Linked DNA regions of Caenorhabditis elegans. The protein of the gene in region 1 interacts with the protein of each later gene in a pairwise test. Each region holds a gene or a part of one and is shown in the gene's direction. Other genes may lie near its edges.

Region 1 (3,758 bases):
TTGTTACACTAGTTACTTTTTCTCGAACTTTTGATGTAGCTTAATCATTTTCCCCTTTATTTTTTATGTAAGAGATAGTACTTGTAAAGTGTAAAACGTTATTCAATATATACCAAGAACAATTACACCCATATTCGAAAAAAAATAGTTGGGATTGTGATTTTTCTCTACCTATTTTCAACATTGCCAAATTAATACTTTGATAAATTCTCTAGATATATATATATATATATATAATATATATAGATACATTTGCATGTAGATCATTTTTCTCTGAGCTCCAAGGTTAAATTCCCAATTTGTGCAGGAAGATTTGCCCAAAATACCTGTCGATTCTGTTTTCAGCAAATTTGGAAAATCTGGAAGCATCCAATTGTTTGTTTGCAGCGCAGCCATTGGAATATTTTTATTTTTTAATTTTTTCCAGTCCACTTTTGTTTTGAAATTACAATTTTTGAAGTAATGTAAAAAGTAGAAAATAGCCTTGGGCAAACAAAACTTTGAAACAAAATTTCATTAACGTTTTTGCCCCCTTCCTCCGCCCATTTCCTCTTCTCATCCCATTCGAATTTTACCCCATTGGGAATTTCAATTCTTGTATCAGTTTTGTTCTTTTTTAGTTTTAAGAAAATTGGCATATATTTTTGAAAAAACGTCATTTTGATCTTGCAGAACAGCTCTGTTTTGTTTTGTGTCGGGTGGTACCCTAACACCATCATTCTTTCATTCAACCCATAAAAGCCAGCCGTCACAGAGGAACACATTTGAAAAAAAGGGTTCCGCGTCTTTTTAGCTTTTAACTACCATCTGCTCTCTTCCAAAAAAGGACATTGAGTGCTCATTTAATTTTTCTGCTCATTTGTTGATTGGGTTTTTCTACACTTTGACATTCTTTAAAATTATAATTAAAAATAAAATCTTTAAAAATAAAATAGAAAACAAGACGAAAAACATCCTCATAACTCCCTAAAACTAGTGTTTATCGGATTAGATACACATAGAGACGTTCGAGAAATTCAATTTTTTTATCTCATCGTTTACGTATTTTATGTATTTGCACATGTGCGATGAGCATTATTTATGTTACAACAAACCCGTTTTTCCTCATATTTCATCTTGCCATTCTCATTTATTTTCTTATTTATGATATTTGAAAATAACAGAAATTATTTTTACTCTTAATCAGATGAAATACTTTGCAAATATCATAAATGTTATAATTAAAACAATTGAAATTTTTGTTGCGAATATTTAAAACATACAAAAAAACGAAAAAATAAACATACTTAATGTTCCTAGTGAATATCAAATTTCTCTGTGCGTCCGCAAATGCATCACGTGGTTTTGTTCACAATTTCAATTAAAAAACTTCTTGAACTTTAAAAATATGTGTTCACACATTAATTAATTTTCACAAGATCTGTAACATGGGGCATAATTTTTGTGAATTTACCAATCAATCATTAATATAAGATAGTTTCACGTAAGTTCAACGCAAGTTTAAAAGTGATAAAAAAAATCAAATTTTGCATTCAACTTTGCAAATTTGTTCTCAGGATGAAACTTCTTGAAAATTTCACAAAAGTGTTTTTTCTTTTTCTTTTTAACGGTTGAAAAGTTTAACAAAAAAATACTCAATATAGCAAAATTCTAAAATTTTATCAACTTTACCCTGTTGTAGAAATTGAGATTAAACTAGCGAATTTTTCATAAACGACACAAAATTTCAAAATGAGGTTGTGATTAAATAATAATATTTTTTCCAGTCGCTCCGCGGACAAGTGGCCTAAATTTAAGATTCCTGCGGAACCTCAATTTTTAAAATTTTTTACTCAAATAAAAAGCAGAACCGTTACTCCTTCTTATGGTTTGCGTTTATATCTTCACAACTTTTTTTGCTCTCTATTGTCAATAACGTTGGTTTTACAAGATACAAATAACTTAAAGTTTCAGGGTAGTTACAGCTAAAAGAGACCGCAGCAAGGGATCCTGTCACTGAGAATGTTCATCTTTGCCGCAGTAAGTGTTCATTTTTAAGATAAACCACATGACCTTGTCTCCTTATGATCTGCCTGATCAAACAACCGGCTCTTCGTTGTCAATGACCTCGTGTTTATGTATGTGTTTTGTTTATCTCCAGCACGTTTTCCAAATCTAAACGTTTTTGATGGTTGGTTGAGAAAGAGAAACTCTACGCAATTTTGTTGTCCTTTCGTTTTGCTTCTTCACCGTCGCCAATGTAAAACGCGTGACTGCCGCGAAACAAACTCTAAAATACAGAAATCGTGAGTCAACTGTAATTTTTTCGACGATTTCCTTTCTGATTCAATTCCACATATCGATTTTTAGAATGACACCGATTTGCATGAATTATCCGTACCCCCGTCAGTCTGAACAGCAACTTTTCTTTTTAACTTTTTGATTTCTGTTGTTTAATCAAGTGCTTTTTGCGTTCATAAAATATAAGAATAAACAATAACTAAAATTAGAATTTCTTATTTTTACGTATTTTTCCTTCAACAGCATATCAATTTAATTTGAAAATAATTTGTCTTGTTCAATGTTAGGAATTTCGCAAACGTTTAGTTGCCATATGTACAAAGATATGTATAAAGAATGTGGAACATTTTCTTTCAAAAATTGAAAATAATTTATTCTAGTAACATTTTTGAACACATAAATTTCAAGTATAATCTTGAAATTTTTTCATGTCGTTAAAAAATCAAATGCAACGTAATTTGAAACACCTACATTGTGAGACTTTTGCAGAAAACAAAGTTAAAGGTCAATGAGACCCTCCGAATACGAGTGCCAAAAGTATTCAATTAAATTTCCAGTTTTTACGCGATGAAAAACACCAATCAACAATGAGCCAAAAGTGTGGTGTGCTGCTCTTTTCCAAGCGTAACATTTAAATTGAACTTCTGTTTGAAAAATGAGGAGAGCATATAGAGCCAAATGATACAAAACCACTCTCATGATATTAGAATTTCCGACTCCTACCCCGACCCGACCGACCCAAAAAATGGGGCGACCCACTCCACAGGCCTAGTCTTACATCCCTACGGACCAATTGAAAATTAGTCTTGCATGCAAGAATAATAGAGAAAGCTTCAAAGCTAATTTGTTCAAAAACAATTTCCTTTTTGGATCTTCTCCGCCTTCAAACTCCAGTTCAGAATGTTATGTGTCCAATTTTCTTTTGCACGTTCGCTCAAGAGTACACATGACAACTACATATTATCTTTTTTATCAGTTCGTCATTTGATTTGATCGCTATTCATGTGCCCTTTTCATATTTACTCTTCGCAACTCTTTTGTGAGCACCATTGTTGCAACCACAACTTGCATAATTACTACAGAATCGAAGTTTCAAAAAAAGATTGCATTCTATCTCGCGCTCCCATGCGCTTTTTTCGTTTTATTTGCGATTGAAAAATAGCTTTCCTGCTTTGCGGGCTATGCAGAGCAGTAGTTTTCAATGGTTTTGTCTGGGCACACAGAGAAGCGTACAGTGTGATTGAAAAAGTGGGGTAGCAGCCAGTATAGAGCAAGAGAAATGTACAGCATTCAATTTTTCATTCGTTTTCTATTTTGCTCTTATAAACTGTGACATTTCTAGTGACTGAAAACGAGAAATCGCAGTGTCTTGTTTAAAACTCCCTCAAAATCTTTCTCTCTGAAATAATAATTCAGAAGAATTATATATTTTTCTTTTTGACAATGACTTCAAATATAATCTCAGAAATCTTACAATT
Region 2 (3,758 bases), on another chromosome or scaffold:
TTGGAAAAAAAACAGCTTTGTGTTAAAATTAACTTTCAAAGAAAATAAAATTCAAAACCAAAAAATTCAAATTTCAGTTGCAACAAGTTTCTACCACACAGTTTTTCTACTTGTTTTGAGTGCGACTAGTTGCTTGGTATGTTCGGAAATAATCCCTAACATAGTTATTTAAATTTTTCCAGGGTAACATGTTGAACTACAAAATAAATCAGAAATACTATCGAGCCTGCCAACAAAGTTACAACGGGAAATACTGTTTGGCTGAAAGGTATCAGATTTCTGATAATATTCATTTTTACTTTGTAAGTTTTGTAAGAAAACAAACCACAATTCATAAAATCCAATTTCTCCAGTTTTTCATTCGGTTTGCTTCAAGTATCTTCTTCTTCACAATTCTCTGTCCGGTTCTGATGTTAGTGGCCAGTTTTGAAATAGATTGGTTCTACCGGAATCTCTGCATCACTTTGTTCGAGTTGAGCTTCAGCGTGTAAGTTTTAGTACTATTTTCAAATGACCTTAAAAGATAAATTTCAGATACACAATACTTACACCTTATATTATATACAAGTTCAATATTCGGTGGCATCAAGAGTTCAAGAGAGTTTTGTCGAAGGTATGTATATAGGAAAACTACAGTCCCAGAATCCGAGGCCAAATTAAACTCACCAGATAACCGCCCGTTTCAAAACAAAACGAATCGACGTGACAGAAATCGGACCCGAAGCGAGTAATCTCAATTTGCGAAACACTTTCGGAGTTGAGATGAATATTGATATCAAAAGACAGTCGGATACTTATTTCGAACAATTGAATTCATCCTGGAGTATGCAGAAACCTTGCTTATAATTATTTATATCTTGAGTTTGTGATATAACATTTAATTCTTCAATCATATCCTGTTATCTTTCGGGTACATTAATTACAATAAAAAGTTTTTAATCAAATGTTGTCAGTATTCAGAGTCTCTCGAAGAAAAACTCTGAATTTAAAATCCCCTTGGTGGCCGTGACCGCATTTACCTCAATTCGGCGGGTGTCGTGGTACGGCCCTTTGCGTGTTAAATATCGCACCGAGAGACTGCAGAGAAAAATGCGGCCAACTATGCAATACATCTTTTCTGTCGTCTATTCGACTTTTCCGATGCTCATAATCTCATTTTACGATATCACCCGAATTTGTTACTTTTGAAACTTTCAAAAAGAAAATTGGAGTACAAAGCTAGTAGAACTTACATGTAACAATAACTACGAAGCTTAATCGGAATATTGTTTGGATAGTTTAGTATAAAAATTGATTTGTATCGATTTTTTAACATAACAGGACCTTGAAACAAACGTGCCCCTTTTCACCGGAACCTTCACAAAATTCTTTGACAATTTTTAAGAATTTCAAGAAAAACATACGAAATCAAAGAAATAGAAATTATATTATATCCCAGTTAATAAAAAAACAACTTCCTTTTTCTTTTTACAAATTACCAAATCGTTAAGTATTTCAATTAATTTGTTTTTTAAGTAAACTGAATTTTTCAGGTCGACAATTGAAATGTCTTCATTTGAAAATCAGAATCATTACCAAGTTCTGAAAGTTCGCAAGAATGCAACTCACTTTGAAATTTATAATGCATATATGAATTCAATGGCAAAAGTAGACCCGAATGATCCATACGTGTTTAAAAAGGATTTAGGTACGTGACAAAAATTGCACTTGAAATTTACTGAGAACTTAATGAAGACTAGGAGGTTGACGAATATTTTGATGAAGAATTTTTTTTCTGATTGAATTGATAAATTGTGCTACAAAACCGCAAAATCTGAAACGGGTATTCAAAAAATGTTCAAAATTATTTTATTTTTATTTTATGATAGTGACAAGGGATTTAATTTTCGCATGGAACACAGGGAAAACTGACTACATTGTTGAAAATTATAAATTGTGACTTTTTTGAAAATTATCCCACCTGTCACGACTGTCCACGTTTAATCAAAAACAATAATTTCAGCCTTCGGTCTGGCATATTCTACGCTTTCCGATCCAGGCCTACGCGAAGAATATGATAGACAGCTTGATGGAATATCAAGGAACTCACGCATTTCTCATTCAAATAGGAGTTTGGATAATATGAGACAAACATATTATCATCCAAATACTGGAAGTCCTTACGATTATACCGGGTGTGACCTTGATAAACTCCAACTAGCACTAGATCATCAATTGAGACAACGTTATGGCGAACCTTCAAGTACGTTCATATTTTGATAACCGTGAGAAAATACCGTTTATTATCTATTAGTATTGCGTATCCGTTACGATTGCCCAAAGACACCTTTGAAAATCAGTATTGCAGTCTCCATAATTGTTGCACATCTACTTTTTTGTTCCAAAATCTTTACATTATTTTTAAAATTTCAATAATATTCTATTTTTCATTCGTTTTACGAGGATTCCTTACTAATTCACAACAAAAAAACGTCGATGATTTCGTGTTACCCGAATTTTCGATAAACTTCTAGACAAAAATCGACATTTAGTTAGTTTTAAACTCGTTAGCATTATTCGAAGAAAACAATCGATACAAGACTTTTCAAAAAAACATTTTGTACTTCTTTTTATATTCTCATTGATATAAATGAGCACATCAAATTAAGTTATGAAACCCACAAGTGATAGATCTCTTTTAAATATACATTTATATATTAAGATGCACCTCAACGAATAACCGACACTCCATCGGAGGGCGACGATGATGATAATGGCCGATTGCTCAAACGTGCTGCTATGTTTCTGATTCGGTGGACTGTAACTGTATTCTTTTTTAAAAGAATGGGAAGGACGGCAGTTTCAATTCTGAAGTTTTTCTGGAGGTTTTTCGAAGACACTGTGGTTCCTCCAGCAAAGGAAGCTATCTCAAACATTTTTGATTCATCTTTCACTCGGACGAATCAATTTTTGAGCAGCCCAAGTATATTTTTGAGAAATGCCAGAATCTTTGATTACGACTTAGTAACTTTGTAACAGTTGTAAATGGCTCAAAATATTTTTTTCTTCAACTTTTTTTGTCACCTCATTTTTCGAGTTTTCATGAATAATTTTTGTTAAATATATATTATATAAATATCTATAAAACTCATTATTCGCTTCATCTCTGTAATTGTAACATTACGTTTTGCGTTTTAGTGAATTTTTGGCAAAATAAAATTTTTTAATTAATGAGTAAATTGAATATTTTCAATACTCTGAATGAACAACTTTGGATCAGTTCGAATGATCTCATAGAAAAATTTTACATCATTGGAAATTTTCCAAAAACATTTTGGAGCAGTTCGACTGAAAACCTAGAAAAATTGAACATTTTCAAAACTTTGTCGGAGCAACTTTGGACGAGTAAGAGTGATGCATCGAACACCATTGGAACGTGGAATAAACAATTTTGGGCAAATACTGTTTTACTACTTGATCTTTTACTACGCATCTCTTTTACTACAGGATCTCTTTTACTACGGAATCTCTTTTACTACGAATTCCACATCTAGATCTTTTACTACAATTGGATCTTTTACTACGGAATCTCTTTTACTACGAATTCCACATCTAGATCTTTTACTACAATTGGATCTTTTACTACGGAATCTCTTTTACTACGAATTCCACATCTAGATCTTTTACTACAATTGGATCTTTTACTACGGAATCTCTTTTACTACGAATTCCACATCTAGATCTTTTACTACAATTGGATCTTTTACTACGGAATCTCT
Region 3 (3,758 bases), on another chromosome or scaffold:
GTAATATGATGCAGGACAAACAAAGACAAGATAATCTGATTCCTGTAGTTTTTTTTCTAACTTAAGTTGCCTGAATGCTCCTAACTTTTTGTATGTAGTGAAATATTCTTTAAAAACGGATATTCTATATGATGTTTCACTGAGAAGTTCAGTACTTCAGTAAAATGTTAAAATTCTTTCCCTGTAGCATATGGCAAGTCATATTTTGTTACCCAAGCTCGGCTCGTAATCTGTCACAAAAAAGGCACACTTGTGCTCTGACTACAAATAAACTCATAGTTTAAAAATAATTTCGAAACTCTTGTTGAGAATGAATCTCCATGACGGCAGACGACCTCATCCTTTTCCGTATCTCTTTCTGGCTTCTCTCTTGTTTAAAGTGACCACCCATCGTTTTGTGCCATTTTATGTTTTTGTGCTCATTTATGGCTTTTTGCGCATTTTCAAGTGTTGACTACGCTTTCAAATGTACAGTGCTTTATGTTTTTTGTAAGGAATCTATCAAATTCTGGCACATATGACAGTCCGAAGTTAGTCACACAATAATTATTCCTGAGAAGATTTCAACTACATACTCTTTCTGTAGGTCAAATGAAACATCTATAGTTAAATAATTGTGAAGCAAATTTAAATTTCTAGATAGGGCTTGGTCGGTAAAATACGCCAAAATTGATTCGCGTCAATGAGAAGTTACTTAAACTTTGAAGTGAACAGTTTTTTAAAGAGCAACAACAGCCTTGCTCCTTGCTCAGAGTTTCTAAATTTTAAATGTCTTTGTTGTGACTTTGACATGTTTTTGATTCTAGAAGTTTCCACAACCTGGCTATCCCAAAAGATTGTTTGTTTAACTAATTGTTGAGATCTCAAACTGCCAAACAAGTTTTCTTGCTCTTTTTTTGCCTTATGTCAACTCAATTTCGTTCTTCTTGAACATTATTTACCAACACGGGTGTACCTATAGTGCGTACCCTGTGTTATCACCATCCGCTGTCATTCTTGGGCAGTTTCTTCGTTTTGCACTTCTTTTAGATGAGTCATTTTAAAATTGAATATTTAAAGTTTTGAAGTATTAAATTTTGAAATTATAAAGAAGCGTTAGCTCAATGGCAAAAGTTTAAGTGTAGTCTGCACGGATTTATGTATTCATGAGTTGCGTTCTCAAAAATTCATTCTTTTGAATTTTCCGTTTTCGTGATTTCATTTGAAAGCAACTTAAACATTTTTTGTTTTTTTTTCTAATGATGTTGCTCGTGGCAAAATTCGCTGTATAGGGATCTCCTTCTCCAGAAGTCCATGCCTTCCGCTTACCTGCCTACGTGCCTACTACATGTTTTCTGGAATTAGAACTAATGTTTTAGGATTCGCGCAATACTTGTACATATTCAGTCTTCCGTTAATTTGTTGAACGTTACAAATAATTTCACGTTTGCAGGAAAAAAGTTAATGTTGATTTTGGCTGGCATGATTTTTTACATTTTGATGAACCTGTCACAGTTTTACGCCCTTTTTGAAATTTAGAAAGTGACTCAAAGATACGAATTGTGCAATTCTTCTTGGTGAACATAGAACGAGAAGAGCACAAATCATGAAATATGAATAATATATATTTGAGGAATTTTATGCTAAACTTTGAACAAAATCACTTTTAAAAACATATTTTCCCATTACTAGCGAAGAAACTGTTTAAAAAATGGACTTTCCTATTTTGTATTGCTTTCTAAAAAATACACAATCTACTCGAATTCTAACTTTAAAACTTTTCAGATGACTTCTGAGGTAGCGAAACGAAATTCGCCATTCAGATTTCTACACAAGCTACCAATTCGACTCACATTCACCGAAAAGAAATCACCTCTTTTGATCAGTGATCTTGCGAAACAACGAGAAGAGAATGAGTGAGTATATTCTTATCGTTTTTTTTTGCAATCAGTTGTGCATGGCACCTTATCAGTATGTGTTAACTTATATGATGCCGATACAATATAGTTTGATGATATGAGGCGTTGAAATTTCGAAATATTGAAAAAATATGGAAAATAAGGCATTCGGGGGCGCCTCTTCACTCGCCCCCTCGCGCCCTTCTAGCTGCCTTTTTTCACGCTTACTTTCAAGCAGTTCAGAACGAACAACACACTTCGAGAGTGGAATTATTTTTCAATCAGGTTGCTTTGAACATAAATTTGTCACACTCAATCACAATTTTTCAAGAGAATTATTGACTTTATTGCAAATATCTATTGACTGAAATGGATAAATGATGATATTTTAAAAAATCTACTCAAACAATTACAATTTTTATTTGCTCACAAACAAACAAAAATCATTTTGATCATTTGGCTTTTGAGTAGACAATTGATGAAAAGCAGTAGTAAAATCGACTGATAAATTTAATTCTAGAATAAAAATAAAGGAATTGATGGGGCTGAAGATTTACACAACTTGTAGACTTTCAAAAAAAAATTGAATTAAAGTATGCCCTAATAGTTTCGTACTGACTAGTTGTCAGAGCAGCCATATGCATGTAAATTTTGATAAAGTCGTCATTTTTAGGATAGGCAAAAGAATCTTACTGAATTCAAAGGCTCGAATAAAGCATGGAAAAGTTGTATTTTTTCAAGCTTTAAACATTATCAAGTCAAGTTTTTGCCCAAGATTGATTAAATTTTCAAAGCAAAAAGAAGTTCGAAAGTTAGTTTTTTCTCTATGTCAATTGAAAATTGAATAAATTGAAAATCAATTGAAAATTAGTATTGCATGCAAAACTAATAGAAAAGTTTGCTAGTTTTAATCCGTCGACGGAGAGAGATCTCTCCATTTCTGTGAGTATCCGTTCTCGGAGCACGTACACACATGATGTGCACCGCCTGTTTCATGTATCTTCCGATTCCGTGTCCGTTTTCCGCCATAGCAGTCCACGAGTTCATTGTATTATTTCTCTATTTGATAAGAACTGACATTCTATCATTTACTCTGCATTTGCAATGTCTCGACGCACCGATTCTCTCTGTCTAGATGAGTATCTCAGCAGGTTGATTAGCTTTTATTTTTTATCTTATAAAATAAACACCGCAATAAATTTCAGTGAGCTCAAAAAGCGTACCCATATTCTGGAATGTGCTTGGAACCAAGAACATGATGATGATGAAGAAGAAGAGGAAGTAAAAGTAGATCAAGGATCCGAAGAGACTACATCATCCCATGATATCTATGGAGATGTTGGAAAACGAGCACCAAATGAGTTTGAAAAGGTTTTGTCTTTTCCCAATAGCTTTCTGAACATGTAATTATTTCCAGATTGATAGATTGACGACTATCAAAGTTTACATCGCATGGCTCGCTTTATTTGTGTTCGCACACATTCGTGAATATGTAACCAGGTTTGGGTTTGTGAAGGACTTGTCGAGCAAAGAAAATGCGAAGATGAAGGTGAGAATGTAATCTTACTAACCATATACAGTAGGTTGAAATATTTGTGTTATATCCAAAGTGTTTGAAAGTTGATTTGAAAAAGGTAGATCTGAGAAAAAACAGTTGTTTTGAAAGTTGGAAAGTTTCAAAAATTTTCAAAACGAGGTATTTAATAAGTATTTTAAAATCTAATTTTGTAGTCTTACGCTTCATTTTCCATCAAATTATTAATTGAAAGCTCTCAATATTCAGCTTAAAAATTGCTTCTACTCAAGCTTCCGTTTATCATGAACTTCCTGTTTTCCTCTTCCTAGAGTCTAATGATCTCATGAACATTTTAATCAGTCTAT

Evidence for each region.
Region 2: the proteins of tsct-1 (region 1) and Y39C12A.9 interact in a two-hybrid assay, tested with the Caenorhabditis elegans proteins (one large-scale study listed by BioGRID).
Region 3: the proteins of tsct-1 (region 1) and sptl-2 interact in a two-hybrid assay, tested with the Caenorhabditis elegans proteins (one large-scale study listed by BioGRID).

The regions. Positions count from the first base shown.
Region 1 is NC_003284.9:12,432,153-12,435,910, forward strand, and holds the start of tsct-1 (Protein tsct-1), read left to right. Parts: upstream 1-1,944; 5' UTR 1,945-2,001; coding exon 2,002-2,019; intron 2,020-3,758.
Region 2 is NC_003282.8:12,256,980-12,260,737, reverse strand, and holds Y39C12A.9 (J domain-containing protein), read left to right. Parts: upstream 1-1,526; 5' UTR 1,527-1,545; coding exon 1,546-1,687; intron 1,688-2,002; coding exon 2,003-2,242; intron 2,243-2,701; coding exon 2,702-3,015; 3' UTR 3,016-3,213; downstream 3,214-3,758. Other genes in the region: sre-14 (Serpentine Receptor, class E (Epsilon)), read left to right, coding at 78-136, 183-302, 354-487, 535-613, 670-846.
Region 3 is NC_003283.11:8,016,183-8,019,940, forward strand, and holds the start of sptl-2 (Serine palmitoyltransferase 2), read left to right. Parts: upstream 1-1,758; 5' UTR 1,759-1,764; coding exon 1,765-1,895; intron 1,896-2,976; exon of another isoform or gene 2,977-2,981; coding exon of another isoform or gene 2,982-3,028; intron 3,029-3,082; coding exon 3,083-3,248; intron 3,249-3,294; coding exon 3,295-3,426; intron 3,427-3,758. UniProt on the Caenorhabditis elegans protein: Component of the serine palmitoyltransferase (SPT) that catalyzes the first committed step in sphingolipid biosynthesis, which is the condensation of an acyl-CoA species and L-serine.